Pelodiscus sinensis: one gene and its partner. The protein of the gene in region 1 binds, or shares a complex with, the protein of each later gene. Links are inferred from orthologs where the notes say so. Each region holds a gene or a part of one and is shown in the gene's direction. Other genes may lie near its edges. The genes, in order: DOCK5 and ELMO1.

What was found.
Region 2: the proteins of DOCK5 (region 1) and ELMO1 are in contact, whole or in part, in a cryo-EM structure (PDB 8JHK), measured with the Homo sapiens proteins. The link is inferred for Pelodiscus sinensis from reciprocal best matches to the Homo sapiens genes DOCK5 and ELMO1. Residues at the interface, in NP_079216.4 of Homo sapiens: Met1, Ala2, Arg3, Trp4, Val14, Ala15, Ile16, Tyr17, Asn18, Ser22, Gln23, Gln30, Ile31, Gly32, Asp33, Thr34, Glu39, Tyr41, Gly43, Trp44, Arg46, Tyr48, Lys56, Ile58, Pro60, Glu61, Thr62, Tyr63, His65, Leu66; in NP_001193409.1 of Homo sapiens: Ile7, Val8, Lys9, Ala11, Tyr18, Pro19, Leu21, Glu23, Glu36, Asp39, Gly40, Ser42, Asn71, Gly72, Gln392, Asp393, Leu400, Glu401, Lys468, Arg531, Glu535, Leu536, Lys539, Leu547, Gln550, Gln551, Asn554, Arg555, Asn582, Thr688.

The regions. Positions count from the first base shown.
Region 1 is NC_134738.1:9,591,563-9,602,145, reverse strand, and holds the start of DOCK5 (dedicator of cytokinesis protein 5), read left to right. Parts: upstream 1-6,432; 5' UTR 6,433-6,876; coding exon 6,877-6,919; intron 6,920-10,583. UniProt on the Homo sapiens protein: Guanine nucleotide exchange factor (GEF) for Rho and Rac. GEF proteins activate small GTPases by exchanging bound GDP for free GTP. Along with DOCK1, mediates CRK/CRKL regulation of epithelial and endothelial cell spreading and migration on type IV collagen.
Region 2 is NC_134712.1:168,648,464-168,658,104, forward strand, and holds the start of ELMO1 (engulfment and cell motility protein 1), read left to right. Parts: upstream 1-5,556; 5' UTR 5,557-5,814; intron 5,815-9,641. UniProt on the Homo sapiens protein: Involved in cytoskeletal rearrangements required for phagocytosis of apoptotic cells and cell motility. Acts in association with DOCK1 and CRK. Was initially proposed to be required in complex with DOCK1 to activate Rac Rho small GTPases.

The DNA.
Region 1 (10,583 bases):
CAACCTGGACTTTTCATTATGTGTATTTAAGAAAACCAGACTGCATGAAGAACTTTTAGGTCTCCAAGCACTTTAAATGAGTAGGTATGGTTTCCTCCAGGCCTATGAGAGGATGGGAATAGTCCATTGTCATGAAACAAGTCAATGGCTGAGCTGGGAACAGAACCCCTGTGCAGTGGCAGCCCGTCAATACAGGCAACCTAGGCGGTCACCTAGGACACCAAGATAAACGGCCGTTGCAGGCTTTGGAGGCGGGAGCACTGATAGCATGCCAATCACGCCTTTTCGCCTAGGGAGCCAGTTGCCGGCAGCTCGTCTAGGGCCGCTCCTGTCCCTGTGACACCCACAGTGGGGCCTTGGCTCAGACCCTTGTGCTCACTGTGTGTGTCTGCCTCCAAGATAAGCCAGCTCCAGATAAGTCCCTGCCCTGCAATCAAACAGAGCTCTGGCCCATTGCTCACAACATTTATTATCTGTCATTTTAGCTCAGTGATGCCACAGAAAGAGGACCGTTTTGCCCTGCATAGAGGATCTTTTTGATCCGGTAAGATAATGCTTCTAAAACTCCCCGTCAGCAAGAAAAAGGAAGCACGGAGAAACTTTGAAAATCTGCTGGAAAGGGTCCTTTGTACTAGGCTAGGTAAGTGTCTTTCTTGGGGACCATTGGGCCATATTCCAAGGAGTGGTGATGGAAACTCTAGTAGCTAGGTACTTATGTGACCCCATCATAAGAACATGAGAACGGCCATACTGGGTCAGGCCAAAGGTCCATCTAGCCCAGTATCCTGTCTGCCGACTGTGGCCAATGCCAGATGCCCCAGAGGGAGGGAACACAACAGGTAATCCTCACGTGATCCCTCATGTCATCCGTTTCCAGACAAACAGAGGCTAAGGACGCCATTCCTACCCATCCTGGCTACTAGCCCTTGATGGACCTAACCTCCATGACTCTAGCTCTTTTTTGAACCCTGTTAAAGTCCTAGTCTGTACAACATCCTCTGGCAAAGAGTTCCGCAGGTTGACTGTGCGCTGCGTGAAGAAAAACTTCCTTTTATTTGTTTTAAACCTGCTACCTATTAATTTCATTTGGTGATCCCTCGTTCTTCTGTTATGGGAACAAGTAAATAACTTTCCTCATTCAATTTTTCCACACCAGTCATGATTTTCTAGACTTCTATCATATCTCTCCCTATCCCCCATAGTTTCCTCTTTTCTAGGCTGAAAAGTCTTTTTAATCTCTCTTCATATGGGACCCGTTCCAAACCTCTAATCACTTTTGTGGCCCTTCTTGAACCTTAACAGTAACGGAGGAGTCTAAATGCCTTTGAGGATCTGGGTCCGAGTGCTTTGGAACTACTCATGAATATATATTCCCAACCTCCCTATGAAACAGAGAGACTATTCACCCCTAGTTGTACAGGTGGGGAACTGAGACACAGAGAAATGAGGGGCTAATTGAGTTTAAGGGGAGCTGTGAAGGATCAACAACCCTTAAATTCAAACTCTAAGAGGCCTTGGGCCAAGGTCACATTGGGAGGAACTGGATGTAAATCTCCTTAGTCCCAATAAAGGGTGTGTCTAGACTACAGGATTTTGTCGACAAAAGTGGACTTTTGTCGACAAAACTAAACCTGCGTCTACACTTCCGCTGAGTTCTGTCGACAGAACGTCGACAGAACTCAGCAGTTTTGTCGACGCTGATAAACCTCATTTTACGAGGCATAACGCCTTCTGTTGACAGAGTTCTGTTGACAGAAAGCGTTATTGCATCTAAACTGTCCTTTGCATCTACACTGCCAAGTTGACAAAGCAGCTTGCTTTGTCGACAGAACTGAATGTAGTGTAGATGCTCTTTGTCGACAGAAGCTTTGTCGACAGTATCTGTCGACAAAACTTCTGTCGACAAAAGCCTGTAGTCTAGATGTACCCATAGTGTCTCAGTCATCAGACCATCCCTTCTACATTGTTAAACTAGAAGATTTACTGAGCGTCGCTTGGGTCCTTAACTCAAAAATGTTCTGTTTTTCTTCATTTAAACCATTGCTCTGGGGTAGGGCTGGGGACGAGGGGGTCAGTATGGAGGCTGCCCTGGGAGAAAGGACAACCCCAGCCCTCTCATTGCAGCAGCTTGGGGCCAGGTGAGAAGTGCTTCTTCATGGCCACTGCACCTGCTGCAGGCACAGCCAGTGGAGGGGTGCATGTCCTCCAGCTGGGGGATAGATAGACACACAAAGACATACAGACCCACAAACAGACAAACTCTCTAAAATATATAGTAGATACCTGTTCCTTTCTCCACCCTTGCCCCCTGCTGGCCCAATGGGATTATAGCTGTCTTGATCCCCATCTCTGGTCCTTTGCTGCCCCCTGTGGTCATTTTATAGTATAACTGTCCCTCCTCCCAGACCTCTCCTTTTTCATTTGATGAGAAACAGTCGAATTCTAAGCACATCCCATTGTCCTGGCACAGCCAAACTCTGACCCTGCTTTAAGTTATGATAACAGGAAGCTGCCTACCAAATTTGGTGTTCCTCTTTGCTCTTACCATTTAGTAGAAGTTCTTGAACAAACTCTCTCATGGACAGACACACAGACAAAGTTTCCAAAATATATAGTACATTAGTATTGATGGGCCAAATTCATCTCAATCAGAATTTAGCCTATAGGTCTGTTGAGGGAATAGACTCCAGCTCACACTCCCAGGTCTATGTTGGTTAAGCAGTGATATATAACTTTTTTTTTTAATTGAGCAGATATGACTAAAGACTCACAGGGAGTAAAAGTGAAGAAGGTGCAACTTACCCAGAATCACTTCTCTAAGCAACAACAAAAAACACAGCGAGAGGAAGGAGATACATCTGGGACTGTTTACTAGGCACAGAACTGATGTTCTATGTAAGAAAAATTCACCCAACTTTTCCTAAATAGGACACGTCACCAGGTGTGTTTTGCTTTTTGTTTTTCATTTGCTGCAGGGAATTTGCCTTGCCTCGCCTGGAAAACGAGCAGAATCTTAAACACGTTGAAAACAGTTGTGTCATGATTGTAATGTTTCTGACACCAGTACACAGCCAAAGTTACCAGCCCTCTGTGGTACTAGTGGCAGCAGGGGGCCGACAGCTTCTGCAGACCCCTGGGAAAGGTGTGTGTGGGGTAGCTCCATGTGCCCCTAAGAGGTGGGGCTTCAGGCGAATGGGGCAAGGCTGGTGCAGCCAGCTCTTAGTGCCGACCAGACCGTGGCACTGGACTCCCCAAGCCCTCAGAGCCCCAGGCCTTAGAGCTCGTCTTAGGGGTGGGTGAGTTAAGCAGTTGCTTGGAGATGCCATTTTCAAGGGGCCGCCAATGGAGCCAGTGATAGGGGTGGGCCACAAACCCCATTTCGGCCCAACATCACGAGCCATCCCGCTACATTTCCCTGGTTACTCCCTGACCCCCCTTTTTTTGCTTTACAAATATTTGTCCGTTTTTTTTTTTTTTTTTTAATATATAGTAGATAGCAACCCTACCCGGGTGAGCTGGGCAGTCGCCCGGGGCCACCAAATGCCCCTTTGAATCACGGCAACTGCCCCCTTTGCCCATCCCCTATTGGTGGGCCTGAGTAGCAGCAGAGAGTTTAACAAGCTACACTTGGAGGCTCATATTAAGGAAAAAAAGCTCCCATTTACGCATCTAAATAAGGGCCGGATTTTGGAAAGAGCTCAGTCCCCGGGCATGTCTCCAATATGCTGCGTTATAGTGAAAACATGGACACTTAGTTTGGTGCTTTTCTCGATAATCTGACCCCAACCGTGGGGTGGGGCCCTTTTCAAAATGGAGCTCTTTATGTCTAGTCTATTTCTCTCTTCTCCTTTTGCTCCGACAGCTCAGAAAGCCACTTCAAAGCGTGGTGCCTGTGATAAGAAACAGGAGTTGTGTCTGCTCCAGCCCTATCTAAGGATATCCTAGGGAGGGGTGCTGTAACTGATTTGAATGTTTGCTCAAAGGTAACACACTGCAGCACACAGCAAAATGGTTATTGGCTTGAAGCACTAATCAGAGTTGTCTACTACAAAAGTATTTCTCAACCAGTGGTACGAGTACCCTTAGGGGGACTTGAGAGACGTCTGGGGGCACGTCAACCCAACTGAAATTTGGAGAAAACTGAATTTCTGTTTTAAGTTTTACAGCGTTTTATTATTTTTGTACTTTTTACAGCCAAACATTTCATCACCCACCTGGTTACGATTAAGTTGTTTAAACAAATGTGTTGCCATGGTAAACACAAACTCTGTGTGTCTGAAAACTGTAGGTACTGGGGGTACTTATAATTATTTTTTTTAGAAGGTTTAAAAAAAGGTTGAGAAACACGCACTTTTGGCCACATGCGTGGTCTTGCACAGGAACGCAAGGCGAAGGCTGCACCATCTCCTGACTCAGCACAACTGATCCTTGGCATAGGATCATAAAGGTGGGATGGGTGAATCTTATGGAGTTCAGGGATTTGCAAAACCCAATTTATCGGACAAGTTATGTACAGTAGGAGAAGGACAGATGTTCTACGTGCTTGATCTTTATTCTTTCTCATGATTTCATACAGTGCTCACATCTCAGGGTGAGGGAAAGGATTTTGAAAGGTGCTGGGCACCTCCTGTCAGGTGTCGGGAACCGTCAGGAGGTTTCGAGGATCCGGGTCAGAAACGATACAGTGTTAGGGACAAGGATCCTGTCTTACATGCCACATGTCAATTACCTGGTGTTATGTAAAGAATAAATTGTTCAACTCGTTCTGACTTGCCTCTTGTTCCAGCCACGAAACACACTCGTCTCCGATCTGCTGGTCAGAGTTACCATCGCCCATCCTCAGGGTCCAGCCACATTCATGGCCTTAGGTGTGTTTGTTATCATAAAGGTACGGCCGTCACAAAAACATCCTGAGCAGCGCTTGGAAACAAATGCACGACATCTTTTTTAGTAGATGGCTTGGGTTTTCTAAACGAAACTGGGTGTAACCTTGCAACACTTCACCACCACAGGATGACTAACTTACTGTGCATGTAACAAACCCTCCAGCTACATATTTTGACACCGCCAGGTATATTTAAAGATACAGTACAGTATGGACTGTAGTAGTAAAAGCAGTTCTTGATGTGTGAAACTAAGCTTCTGTCTTGGGAGAAGAGGCAAGATATTGTTTATTACAGTAGGACCTACAGGACCCCACTATGCAAGGCACAGCCTACGGAGAGATGGGAGGGGCTAGCCAATGGATCTACATACCCATTCTACATCATAGGCTATGTCTACACTCGCAGTTTCTTGCGCAAGAAATATGTAAATGAGGCTAAGCATGGCCTATTGCTGAGCCTCATTTGCATACCTAATGAGCTGCCATTTTTGCAGAAGAGGCTCTTGAGCTAGAAGGAGCTGTCTACACTGCTCCTTCTTACGCAAGAAAAAGCCTCTTGCACTATGCTGCTACGCCGATTACGTAGGAATAACGGTATTGCACAAGAGGGTTTTTCTTTCGCAAGAAGGGGCAGTATAGACAACTCCTTCCAGCACAAGAGCCTCTTCTGCAAAAATGGCGGCTCATGAGGTATGCAAATGAGGCTCGGTGATATTCCACGCTTACTCTCATTTGCATATTTCTCACGCAAGAAGCCGCGAGTGTAGACATAGCCGCCGACTCCTACTCAGAGCAGCTAGACTGCCCTGCTATTCAGAGCCCTGGTTCCAAGCATAAATGCACCCTAAAGTTACATCAGTAGTAGCCACATCAGTGTTCCCTCTAATCTTTCCCATCTGTGTGTGGAATAAATTTGTCTACATGCACCAAGGCACGAGCAAATGTGCACCACCAATAGAAACACAAACCTAGCTGTGGGGTCTCTCCCGTTGCACCTCCAGCTCCCCCTACTTTTTCCCCACCTGTGTTATACAAGAGAATGTCTTGGGTCCATCTGAAAACCTTCCCCACCCCCAGTGATTTTCCTCACTGCTAATGGATGATACCTGGTTTGGGGGCATAAGCCTCAAACCTGCACCCATCAGTTTGCAGGAGCAGGGCCTGCAGGTAATGGAAACATAACTGGGGGGAGGTGCCTTTGAAATGGCTCATCCAGGGTCCCAAGCCTGCACAAGCTGAAGTCAAGACGAGTTTTGAGCCCGTTCGGACACCTTGATTGTTCCTGCTCTTGCCTTTGTTTCCCCAGCCCTGGGAATGGTTTTAGGGCAGGACTCGTCATTCCAGCCCAATGCAAACTCAGCCACGCTGCTCGTGTTTGGAAACCTCCCCCACCCCGCTTGCCCCTGTCCCGGATTCGCTTCGGGGAGCGTGAAGCGAGGGTCTGGCACCGGGCTCCGCTTTCCCCAAGCCCATGCTGCGGCTTGGCTCGCCTCCCCCCCGCACGTCAACCCTGGCAAAGCAGCGAGGCGGGGGAACGCTTCGGGAGCCGCCGCCGCCTCTGGACTCGCTCCCGGCTGCGGGGGGCAGAGGGTTAACAGGGCTGCTCCGGAGCCAATCCCTGCCCGGCTGGGAAGTTGCCCAAGTCTGGGGCGGGGAAGGGGGCGCAGAGCGGAGGGTGCCGGGGGCAGAGGTGCAGCTCCGAGCCCGGGCTGGGTGGAGGTGCCCTGGGAAGGGGGCGCTCGCTCCGAGCCCCGGGGAGCCGCGTTGCGGGCGCTGGGGCGGGCGCAGCAGGTGATCCCTCCCGGGCAGGAGGCGGGGAAGGGGCCCGGCGCCGGGAAGTGAGTCGCCGAGCGGCGGGTTCGCAGCGGGGCCCCGAACATGGCGGAGCAGCCCGGGGCGCCCAGCCCGACCCAGCCGCGCCGGGAGCCGGGGGCAGCGCAGCGCCTGCCGCGCTGAGCCTCCGCGGGGAGCGCCCGGCCGCCGCCGCCAGCATGGCCCGCTGGATCCCCACCAAGCGGGAGAAGTACGGGGTCGGTGAGTGCGCGCCCCGCCGCCGGGAGACCGCCCGGCCCCCCGGCTCCCCGCTGCCCCCCGGGCTCCCCGCTGCACCCCCCCCCCCAGGCTCCCCGCGCTGCATCCTCCCGTTGCACCCCCAACTCCCCGCGCTGCACCCTCACGGCCCGGGCTCCCTGCTGCACCCCCCCTGCTCCCCGCTGCCCCCCCGTCTCCCCGCACTGCATCCTCCCGTTGCACCCCCAACTCCCCGCGCTGCACCCCCAAACCCCCTCACGGCCCGGGCTCCCTGCTGCACCCCCCCGGCTCTCCGCGCTGCACCCCCCCGGCTCTCCGCACTGCACCCGCCCGTTGCACCCCCAACTCCCCGCGCTGCACCCCCTGCACGGCCCGGGCTCCTCGCTGCACCCCCAACTCCCCGCGCTGCACCCCCAAACCTCCTCACGGCCCGGGCTCCTCGCTGAACCCCCCCAGCTCCCCGCACTGCTCCCCCCTGCACTGCCCGGGCTCCCCACTGAACCCCCCCAGCTCCCTGCACTGCATCCTCCTGCTGCACCCCCAACTCTCCGTGCTGCACCCCCAAACCTCCTCACGGCCCGGGCTCCTCGCTGAACCCCCCCAACTCCCCGCGCTGCACCCCCCCTCACGGCCCAGGCTCCCCACTGAACCCCCTCAGCTCTCTGCGCTGCATCCTCCCGCTGCACCCCCAACTCCCCGTGCTGCACCCCCAAACCTCCTTACGGCCCGAGCTCCCCGCTGCACCCCCCAGCTCTCCGCACTGCACCCCAACTCCCTGCGTTGCACCCCCCCCGCACAGCTCGGGCTCCCCGCTGCTCTTCACCCCCCAAGCCCTTCCTGCTGCACCTCCAACTCCCTCCTGCTGCACCCCCACACCCAACACGGCCAGGGCTCCCCGCTGCACCCCCTAACTCCCCACACTGCACACCCCCTAACACCCTCCTTCTGTACCCTCCACCCCACATGGCCGGGGTTCCCCACTGCACCCCCACATCCCTCATGGCCCAGGCTCCCTGCTGCACCCCCCCCAACACCCTTCCGCTGCACGTGCCCCCCACCTCGCACTCCCGGGTTCCCTGCTGTACTGCCTGGGCTTCCCACTGCACCCTCCCAACTGCACCTCCCCCGAACATCCCCTGCATTGCCCGGGCTCCCCACTGCACCCCCCCAGCACCCCACTTTGCCTGGGCTCCCCCGCACTCTGCGGTCTGCCCATGCCGCTCTGCCCATTGCAGCCCCCACCTTGCCTTCACTGCAAACTCCTTCCAAATATCCCCCCCACTGCAATGATCACTGCAGCCCCCGAACACCTTCTCCAGTGCAAACCCTATTTCAGCCCCCATCCCGAACACTCTCCCCAGGCATTCTCCATGGACGCCTCTCTCTGCAACTCTTCACCCCGTATACTCCCCTCACTGCAGCGCCCTCCCTCCCACTATAGCCCCCAGTCCTAAACACCCCACCCCCCGCAACCCTCGACACTGCCCCTCTGCCCTACTGCAACCCCCCATCCTCAACACTCCCCCTGCACCCTTTGCCTTATTGCAAATACCTTACAACCCAAACACTGTCCAGCTGCCCCACTACAGCCCTCCAACCCAAATGCTCCTCTAGTGCCCTGCCCTGTCTGCTTTCCGCTGCCTGGATTTCCCTGTACACCCTCCTACCCCAGTGCATGCGCTCTCTTGCTGTTCCACTCCACCCCCATGCAACTCCCCCTCTCTCCTCTGACCCCACCCGCTGCGTCCCCAGGCACTCTGCTATGTCCTCTACTCCACGGGCTCTCAGACTTCATTGTACCACCACCCAGTTACTCTGTGAAGAAAGTCTGAACCCCATCTCCTGGCCTAGGGGGGACAAAGTTAATGAGCAAAGGCTTCAACCCCAGGCAGCAGGCCTGAGCCCTGGCAATCCCATTAAAACGGGGCTGTGACCAATTTTCCCTCTAATCTTTTCCATCCACGTGTGGATTTTTTCCTCACCCATGTGCAGAATAATTTTTCTATGTGCACTGAGGTATATGCTTATGTGCACCACCAGTATAAACACAAACCTAGCTGTGGGTGCTCTGCTAATCAGCTGGGTGGCACTTGAATCTCTCCTGAGCAGTTGCCCAAGCACTCAGCTTACAGGGAACACTGGTAGGGATGTTAAAATTAGATTAATCAACGAATCAAAGAGTCGATGGAATTTTCATCGACTATTCATTTAGTCGAGAAAGGCGCTTTTGCTTTGACATGTAGCAAGAGCCGGCTGGGCTGTTGCTATATTTCAAAGGCGGAAGTGCCCTGCAGTGTTTCGCCTTTGAAATGTACAAGATCCCCAGGGTTCTCTGAGTCCCCCACTGGCCCCAGACTCCAGGTGGCGCTTCCGCTTTGGAATGTACAAGAGCCCCAGCAGGGACTCTTGTACATTTCAAAGGTGGAACGCCGCTGCTGCGCACTTACCCCCTCCCACGGAGCTGGGGGGAACCGGCTTTTAAGCCGGTTCCCCCACCCTTCGTATCCCTTCCTCTTCCACTGCCCCCTTGCTTCCTCTTTGAGATAGAAGCAGCAAGGGGGGAGAAGGACTGGTGTGTCAACTATCTGATAAGCTTACATCCCTAAACACTGGTGGTGACTCACTTGTGGGTCCTGACCCACAGTTTGAGAACTGCTGCTTTACTCCCCCAGGGCGCTTCCCCTCACACGCTACGCCAGCCATCTCTGTGTATGCACCTATGCAACCTCTTCCCCCACCCCAACATGCCTTGCTCTCTCACTATGCACCTCCCTCTGCAGCTACCCCCTCACCACTGCGCTCTCTGAAACCCCTACCCGTGTTCCCTTCTCCCTCAGCAGCCCCGCCTGTGGTCCCAGCGAATATTCATCTCCCCTCTGATTCGTTATTTGCGTAGCTCCTGCCCCACAGCACCTGCGATTCCCCCGCCCTACTGCAGTTTCTCTCACCCCCTTCACCCCACATTGATTTTTCTCTCATTTGTCTCCACCCTGCTTATTTAATTTCTTCTCCCATCCCCATTCGTGACCTTTTGACTTCATGCCACCCACCCCTTCTAGCTTGCCCCTTTGAATTCTTCTGACTGCATTTTGATTCCCTTGCGCTACTCTTTGATTCCTCCCTCCCCCCCCCCCCCCCCCACTTTGGTCTTTGCCTGGAGCTTTCAGCTGCTGATATTCCTTGGGACTTTATTTAGCTTCGAGACCTTGGAGTTGGAAGGGGGGATCGAGACCCAGCGTAGTTCTGTGTTGCTTTGGTTTTCATTCACTACTGCAAGTGTGTCTCCTGCCTTAGAACTGACCCTGGTTGTGGGGTGCTTGTTGGCACTCCAGTCTGCCTCTACGGCGGCCTCCGAAGGCCATCCAGATGGGGAAGGAAGGGGGAGACAGCGACAGTGACTGTGCTGCAGTGTCTGGCTTCCTCGCCCCCATGGGTTATAGGGAGGGGAATGGGGTACGGAGGACTGAGGGTATGTCTGTGCAATGATTCCGGGAGAGGAAGCTTCACCGAGTGGCATAGGGAAGTGGGAGTGGAGAGAGAAGCTGCAAAACTGAGGTGGGAGCTGCCTGGCGGCATTTTAAAATAATCATGAAATGCTGATTTACCACCTCTTAGAACAAACATAGCACTCGCTGTCCGGCTTCCCCTTTTTGGAGAGCTTGATGAA
Region 2 (9,641 bases), on another chromosome or scaffold:
ACTTGCCCAGAAGACACGGAAGCAGGTATAGGAGAAGACTGGGTGGGACCTACTTAACTTACACCCTCCTGATAGCTGCGTTGTCACTTGTCAAATACATAACATACATCATCGTGCTTAGATATCCCTTTGACCTGGCCTTGGGATGTGTATATGACAGTAAAATGGGATGTGTATATGACAGTAAAAGCAATTCATAAAGCTGTGTCTTTCTACTTGATAGAAGTAATGTATGTTTATGACACGGGCATGGTAAGAATTATGATTTAACTATTTGTTTCCTTGCTTTTATGTGCTTGGATTTAGTAAATGATGATATGGGAATACTTTTGTCACCTAGCAACAATGTTGTTGTTTTTAAGCAATTATCTTTTGCTTTTAGAATGTTACTGTATTTCTATGTCTAGATAGTATGGGAATGGCACTATAAAATAGCTTGAGTAGATGGAGACAGGGTTTTTCTTTGTTTAATTAAAAAAATCTATTTCATGAGTTTTAAAAACTGACTGCTCTGCATATCCCATAAGTTGTTTCCTAATACTTATTATGCATAAGCATACCTCTGTCAAGACTCTGGCAGTGTTAAAATGGGAGTACATATAATTTTGAAATGGATTTACTCAGAAACAGGCTTAAAGTATATTGATTCACTTAAAAAGCCCTTCTTGTAACATGCATTTGTATAACTGAACCGACAACATTTGTTTAGGGATGTTTCAGCATGCACTGAGATTTGTAAGCATATTATAAAGTAGGAACTGAAGTTCAAGTTCCACAAGCCACTTCTTTTTAGAATTACTGCCATCATGGTCAAGCAATTTTGACACAATTTTGAAATCTGTTATAAACTATTTGCAAAAATATTTTGTAAACAAATAAACTAGCATGTTCAAAGCACTAAAAGGAAATAAATTATCTGTGATAAAAAAAGAATAATAATCTGATACCATTTATATGGCAGTTTGCACCTCAAAGTGCATTAAACATTGTGGCTGTGAACCTGTAAATCCTTATTTTATGTAGACAATGCAATTTCTCATATGAATACAGACTAGTCATGGAAGCAAGGATTTACAAGACAAGATCTATATACATATAGCAATTCTGAAGTACATCCATCTGTGGAACTAAAGGGCAGCAAGCTGGATGTTGGACCCCAATGATTACAATGAAAACTGTATGTAGAAACCCTACCATTACAAAAATAGTCATAAGATCTTTACATGAATTCAAGGACAGGGCACTGATTTTTAAAAATAATAGAATTTGGATGATCAACTTGAGATGATTTTCAGAAAATGCCGAGAACCTGCTTGATTCCCCGTTGCGGTGTCTCAAGCAGGGCACCAAATATCATAAGTCCTTTGAAAATCTTTGCCTTTATTTTTAGGGTTGTAGCTGAAATACCCCACACAAAATAAAATACACAGTATTCAGCATACTGTGCTCCCTTGCTCCCTCTTCTGGCTCTTTGGAAATACTTAGCAAATGTACCAACTCCAGTTCTTAGGGGCTGATTCAGGGCCCAGTGAAGTCAATGGGAGTCACTCTAGTGCACAAAAGCTGTTATCATCATGGGTAGTGATGGGTACGCTTAGTGGTGGACACTTGAAAGAGACCAGTGATTGAGGAATGCATGGAAGAATTCTCATCCAAAGTTTTCCAACTCAGAATTGATGTATACTTGCTGCCAGTACTTGATCTGTGTATAATCTAGAGCACATCAGAGGCGTCTAGTCTTCAGAATGCTTTCTAGTTTTTCCCCGATATCAGTCATAAACATTCTCCTATAGAGTTTGAAATCCAGTACTAAGAAACTAAAAGCAACACTGACGTCACTGATTTCATTACCAATCTGACAGAAAAATAGAAGTTAACTAAACAACACTACATTGCATTTTATTTTTTTTAAAACTTTTAATAACCTCAATGCCCCAGTCCTGCAAACATTTACACACATACTTAACTTAACTGTGAGTGATGAAATTAAGTGTATATATGTTTGCAGGATCTGGGCCAGAGTTGATATTTAAAAAAATAGGTAAACAAAATGTTTAAAATATTTTGTAAAATTATACCATCCTGTGTATTTATTTAACTAGACAACCCTCCTTCCTACCAAAACAATACAACACAAAACACACAAATACAATTAAACACCCTCTCCCCTTCCCTCCCAGTCCATTTAACAAATCCATTTACCTGCAATGTGAATTTCATGCACCAAATGTTGATTGGTCTCTCTTCTTGGATAAACTTGAAAGCAGCAGTTTCTTGGAGGATTTTATAATTCACTTTTGTTCTTCTCTACGTCCCTTCTATTATCTCTTTTTCTTTCTGGATACCTCATTATGTCACTTAACTATGAATTAAACATATGTGAAAACACAAATATAAACGTATCTGGTTTGTATCTTTACATTTTGTAAATGATTTGCTTTATTTAATTTAAAAACTAGCACAACTTTAAAATTAAAGTTAGTCTAACAAAGTATGTACTATACAGCTATCATTCACAGGTTGCAAATATCAGGCCAAAACACCCCTTCCTGCACCAGGCTGAGGCCAAGAGGAAAGAAATCTCAGTGAGGATCCCTGAGTATCATGGCTCTACTGGGGCTCTTTTTGGCAGTAGGTCATTCCTACCATGCAGGCAGGCGGAAAGACAATACAGAGTAGGTTTCTAGGGTTGTCAACTCTGACTGAAGCTATTCTGGAGATTCCACCTCCCCCCGCTCCCACCCCCTAACATGTCATAATGTCATTTTCTTAAAATTGCCTATTAAAATCTCCAGGCTTATTTTCAAGTCACCAGAAGAGCCATGCCAATTCCAGGTGATACCAGGCGAATCCTGGAATGTTGGCAACCCTTTTGGGTTCACATGTGGCAGAGAACTTCTATGTGCAGGTCTTGGAGATGTGATCTCATCAGTGATATCACCATCACGGTCATTCACAAGATCTGCATTTTAATGTGAGTAGTTTTATTTAAGTGAGTAGTACCACGGACTAATTCACACTGAATTATTTAGTCAGCTCTAGCACACATACCATTACCACTCTGAACTTCATAGAAACAGTGAGATAAAACTTCCTACTCCAAAGGACAGGCCACCATCTTCTCTAGTTCAAGTAGGGGGCCTAAAATGCTGCGATTCTTCAAGGTCAATGGTGCACATAAACATGAGTTGGTGTATTGCAATTGTACTGTAATTGTAGGGCCCAGGCCTGCAAGCACTTAAGCATGTGAGTGCTTTTATAAAAGTGAAAGCAACGGTACTATTAATTTAAGCAGTTATTCCCATATGTAAGTTTTGTAGTATTGACACCAGTATTTGCTGAAAATGTTGGTGTTTTTCATCAATTATTGATAAATAATTTAAAAAATATATAAATTATGCACAAATATTACACTACTTCTAACAGGAACAAATGGGAAGTTCTTAGGTGGCCTCTTGATTCAAAAGCAAGATCTGAGCTTCTAAGAACCCCTGATATTTGAGGATAGGTTTTGTGAATATGTATTGAACTAGCTAAGATTTTCCAAAGTTATTAGTGATTTTTGGTGCCTCCATTTTGGGGCAGTTTAAAGACATTTAAAGAGATCTGATTGTCAGACAGTGGGCGCTTGCACTTCCTGGAAGTCAGGCTGGGTTCCTTAAATTGGACACTCAAAATTACTAATCGTTTGATAAAATCCATTATAAAGCATATGAGTGCTACCACCCTCTCCTGGATGTATTCTGAACTATATGGGTACATCTACACAGCAACATTATTTTGAAATAACGAGTTATTTCAAAATAACGTAGTCTGCGTCTACACAGCAGACAATTATTTCAAAAGAATGTTGAAATACTGTCAAGCCGGACTTCTTACTCTGACTCCTGTAACCCTCATTTTATGAAGAGTAAGGGAAGACAGAGGAAGAGTGCTCTATTTTGAAATAAGTGCTGTGTAGACACTCCCAATTTCAAAATAAGCTATTTCAAAATAAACTATGCAATTGACATAGCTCAATTTGTGTAGCTTATTTCAAGTTAAGCCCTGATGTGTGGACGCACCCTATGAGTACATCTACACCAGTGGTCCCCAACGTTTTGGGGCTGCCGGGCGCCTGGGGGCGGGGCTGCTCACGTGCCACGTGTACAGGGGCGGGGCCGCTCACGGGCCACGTGCTTGGGGGTGGGGCCAAGCATGCGCCGCACGCCCGGGGCCGGCACCTGCATGTGCCGTGACCCCGGGCAGGGGCAGCCCAGGTGTCGCGCGCCCGGGGCCAGCACCGGCATGTGCTGTGACCCCGGGCAGGGGCCGCCCAGGCGCCACATGCATGGGGCTGGCACCGGCATGTGCTGTGCCCCCGGGGCCAGGGCCGGCACCAGCATGTGCTGCAACCCTGGGCAGGGGCCGCCCAGGCGCCGCATGCATGGAGCCGGCACTGGCATGCGCCACGACCCCGGGTCAGGGGCCGCCCATGTGCCCGGGGCTGGCACCTGCCGCACGCCCGGGGGCGGGACCAGCCCAGATTGCTCCGCGGGCGCACATAAATGGCCCGGGGGGCGCCATGGCGCCTGCGGGCACTGCGTTGGGGACCACTGATCTACAATGCAATGCTATTTCAGGATACTAGAGTATCCTGAAATAGATATCCACTGTCTACACAGCAAGCCTGTTATTTTGGGTTTGCTATTCTGATGTCCCTGTAAACCTTATTCTACGAGGAGTAAGGGACATTTCAGAATAGCACTTTATTTAGAAATTTGGCAATGTGCAGACAGCTCCAAGTAATGAAATAAGCTATTTTGAAACAGCATTGAAATAAGATACACCAGTGGTTCTCAAACTTTTTGGGCTCTGGAGCCCTTTACATGCGTAAAAATGTATGCAGAGCCCTGGCGGTCCACTGATTGTATGTGTTGTACCTATCTATGTTTCCAGTTTGTCTACCTCGTGGAGCCCCTGGAGATGTCTCGGGCTCCGTGGAGCAGTTTGAGAAACACTGAGATATGCAATTTAAGCTATGCAAATTGTGTATCTAATTTTGAGTTCTGGTGCTCTGTAGATGCACCCTAGAAGTGTGTGTCATGTTTGCTGAAAGTTAAAGATGATTTCTCCTGCGGCTCATGCTGTAAGAGTTTGTGCTAAGTAGCAGGATCACCTGAATGCTGCTTATCCTTTTTTAAGTGAAAATTATGTTCTATGTAGAAACAGCTAAAAGGGTGCTGTTGCAAAATCATTCACTGCAGCCAATGAAAAATCTCTTAAGATTGTTAGAGCAAAAGTACTGAGGTTTCTTTTTCAAAATTCTGTACATTTTAGTGATTTTTAAAAGGGGATGTACAAAATGGAGATCGTGGGAAGAAACATGATCACAGCATGCCATGTAGATTGTAAAACCCCAAAGATTACAGAAAGAGCATGAAAGATGCGCACAACGCACAACGGTGCGTCCTGCATTTTGCAGGTGCTGGTAACTACTCAGCATTCCTTCAGAGATACTTCGCAGATTATCTTGGGGCTTCTTGCAGATGCAAATTGGGTGTGTGGCCAGCAGGAGGAAGGAAGAGGAAGTGAGAGCAGCAGCAACAGCAGCAGCAGCAGCAGTGTGTGTGTGTGTTTGAGTCTGATGATGGGATAGAGTCAGAAATACCAAAACAGCAGCGGTCAAAAGCTCAACTTCAATGGTGGGAGAGGCGCGGGCCGGGGAAAAGAAACCACGGAGTTGCCAGGCGCTGGTTGCAGCAGGGCAGCAAACTTGCCCCCGGCGCCGCTCTGCACTTGGCGGCCGCTGACGGTGGAGCCGGGTTTTGTAAGGTACTCGCCTCTCGCTTGGGGCAGGTCTGCGGGGAGAGGCGCCGCTGCGGGGGGCTGAGGTGGGGCGCGGCAGGTTCCCGCGCGGGGGATGCTGAGGGCAGCGGGGGCGGCGCTGGGGGAGGATGCCGGCGGCGGGAGCAGAGCCCGCACCTGGCCGCGGCTGGGGAGGAGGGAGACGCGTCCCGGGGGCTGCCCGGCCCCGCAGGGGAGGAGGCGGCGGCGGGTGGAGCGCGGCCGGGGCAGGGGGGAAGCGGCTGCCTGACATCGGCGCTGAGGAAGAGGAAACGCGGCCGCCCTCCCGCGTGCTTGTCAGCGCGCCCGGCTGCTCCGGGTCAGGGCGCGGGGCGGCTGCTTTGCGGCTACAGCCCCGGGCCCGGCAGCTGCGCGCGCGCGCGTGTGTGTGTGTGTGTGTGTGTGTGGGGGGGGGGCTCGTTCACCTCCCCGACCCGCCCTTTCACTCGCGCCCCCGTGACACCGCCTGCTCCCTCTGCCCCGGCTCTGCTCCGCCCCTCACCCCCTGCCCCAGGCCTCCCCCTCCCAGTCACACCCCGAAAGAGGAGTTCAGGGCTGGGCGCTGTGTTTGTAATTGAGTGCTGGGGGGGTTGATGTCTCTCCAGCCGCCCGCAGATCCCTCTCTGCTGCTCCTCTTGTTCCAAAGTGCTGGGCCGTGGCAACTTGGTCTCAGAGACGGTTGACCTCATAAAGTGGGTTGGGAACATCTGCGTTAGCAATTTGCGTGTCCTCTGCAAATGCACTCAGGCAAAAGCAGGCTGTCTGCAGAGCAGTGGGTAGTTGTGTGTCACTTGGGCACGTGTGTCTAATGCATTGGGGGGGATCATCCTGAAGATTTGAGAGACTCTTTTAATATGTTGGTGGAAGGTGGTTGAACTAAAGGTCCTTGCTCTCCTTTCTCCTCCAACCCAATCATAGATTTGAAGCCTAAAGAGTAAGGGTTCTCTGCATACAAACTTGTTCTGGTTTAGTAACTGCTGATAGTAGCATGGATGCTCTTTTTTTCTGTTTAAGAATGGCTTATTTTGGTTTAATTTATATCTGTTTCTAAAATGTACAAGATACATTGAAATAAGGTTGATTGAAACACAGTTAAGAACTACAGTACAGCATCTTGCAGGGATTATCAAATTAGTTTAAAAAGACATCTTAAATTAAAGCAATGCAACTCTGCATCTAGGCCAGCCCCTTAGTTCATTGCAGTTAGTCACCTTCTGAGTTCATGCCTTCTCTCTTTGCCAAGAACTTTTAGTCAGTTGTAAAAGAGCTCTCAGTAAGGGGTTGCCTTTTCTAAGATTTGTACCCATAGTTATACAAATAATCTGAGGATGCATTTTCATATAAAATTATTGTGCTGGAATGTGGGTGGAAATTATGCATAACCATGGTGCACAACCCCTTAAACCAAGTGGGTATGAAATCTAAGAAGTGGAGTGTTCCGTTTTTTTGGCTTAAAGCCCTTGCAGTTTATGTTGATTATCTTTCCCTTGCAGAATTAACACAACTGTCCAGCTCACTCTTGAGAATATAGAAAATAAATTTCAAAGTTTCGGAAAAATAGCTGAGTACATTTGGGAAGAGCCATATTTTATTATTTTGTAAGCCTTCCTCTTAACTTGTCAAGGGTAAAATGTAGGACAAACATGGAGAAGACAGAGCCAAAGAAGATAATGGTGCCAGAACTGTATAATGTGCTAACTTCTTTAATATAGACAATATTGTCTATAATTTGAACCTCATTTGTGGTGTAAATACATACATTTGAAATACCTTTACAAGTATCTAGTTTTTCTTTAGACTTTGAGCTTAGGCTGTTGCACTGTCCCTTATTAAAATCTTATGAAGGGAAAAGTTAAGGATGACTACAACAAAATCCTTTATTACTCAAAGTGGGATGTGGGCTAGGCAATTGGATTGACTAGCTCATCAGTGAATGGGGTACCAGACCATGCTCTTTCTACATGTTAGAGATCATTCAGTGTTTATTGCTAACTGGCTTCTTTAGTGACATGCCTCCTAAGTAGCTCAACCTATGCTGACTATTTCTCAAATGCAGAAAAATACCTGCATTTTTCCTGGCTCTTTTCATGCTCAACCTTGAGTTCAAATTGTCTGTGCATCAAAACTATTCTGTTTTCCAAGCCAGCCAGTTCCATAATGGAAAAAGAACTATTTAATTCTAGTGATATATTTAATAGCTGTAATCTGACTGTGTAGTAGTACATAGGTAGTAAGGAGAAAGAACTAGTGGTAATTTACTGGTAAACCTCACTGTGGTGTAGCATTAAGGAAGCACATATGACAACACAAATTTTAGGGAGTGATTAAATCATCTTGCAGCAACTTTTAAAATTTACTTGTGTGTGTTGGGTAATAAAGATTAGCATCGCGATGCTGCATTAACTGTATTAAATAGATACTTTTGGCAGATATAGCAGTTCATGTAGATCTTTGACTATCTGATTTGATTTAGTAATCTAGAGATCTGTGTAACTGTCAGTTTCTGTAGGCAGTGAAGCTATACATTTAAATGGGCTAATCATTTTTTGTAATCCTATTGAGGATCACAATGTAGCATTATACATTTTATGTCTTCTCTGTAAATTGCAGTTTAGGGAAGAGTGTTGCTGGCTGAGTTTCTTTGATAAGAAGTAGAAAATAAATTGAGGATTTTTTCTACTCTCTTGATTTTTGAATTTTCCAGAAGTTGTTGAATTACACTAGAAAAATATAATGGAATTAAAGCTGAATGGATTTTGATGACTAGCTAGGTGGACTCTTTTACTCATTGATAGAGCAACTGTATTTTTATCATTGAAAGTAACTAGTTTAACAATGCATTTTACAGATTACATATGGAAAATATTTTTAGAAATGCAATAGATTGATGCAAAACAAAACAAAACAATACTTCAACAATGATCTACTCAATTCCATTTCTTAGCATTTAAGTGTATTACATTGAGTTCATTGTACTGTCAGAGGACTTGATTTCCCCTCCCTTATTGCCAACTTGTTACATGCTCTCTACCAGTGTATAATAGAAAAAGTAAGTGCTCCTAGAGGTTTAACTGTTACTGAAATGCTGCTGCATGTATGATACTTCCTTATAGCAATGCCCTTCTGTGGCAAATTGCAGATCTACAGTGCTGATGCTCCACCCTTCCTTCCGCTCTTTGTTTACTCTCTTAATAGAAATATCTTTGATATTAGGTTTGAGCTCACACATTTTCTTTGCTATGAAGGTCAGGCTTTTCAGAGGTGTTTGGATGTGATCTCATATTTTCCATGTTGTTACAGATAATGCCTGATTTAAATATTGTTTCTTTTGTAAAATATAAGACACAAATTTAGTGCATGTGAAAGTGAGGGACTGACATCCTTACGCATAACTGTGATTAGTGCAAGCTTTCTTACACAGCTCTTCCAGTCCTCCTCCATGCTGTCATGCAGTATGTACCTCCAGTTACTCCAACATTGGGCCTCACCTTTGTTGAATAGATTAGCAAGCATAACATGAAAGTCTCTTGTGGTTCTGTGATTTTGGTAAGGATTCATTTGAGATTATGAGGTCATGAAACACAATTTCCTCCCCAATCTATGACCCTGTTATCACTCGAATTCAGGTCTCCAGAAGCAAATGATGCATTTTGCTGCTGATAAATTGGAAAGGGTTTGGAGAAGAGCCACAAGAATAATTGAAGTATTGGAAAATATTATTTATAGTAGGGGCAGGGAGCCTTTTTTTGGGTTGGTGGCCGCTGACCCACAGAAAAATCAATCAGAGACCGCACACAAGTGAGAAACAAAAAATT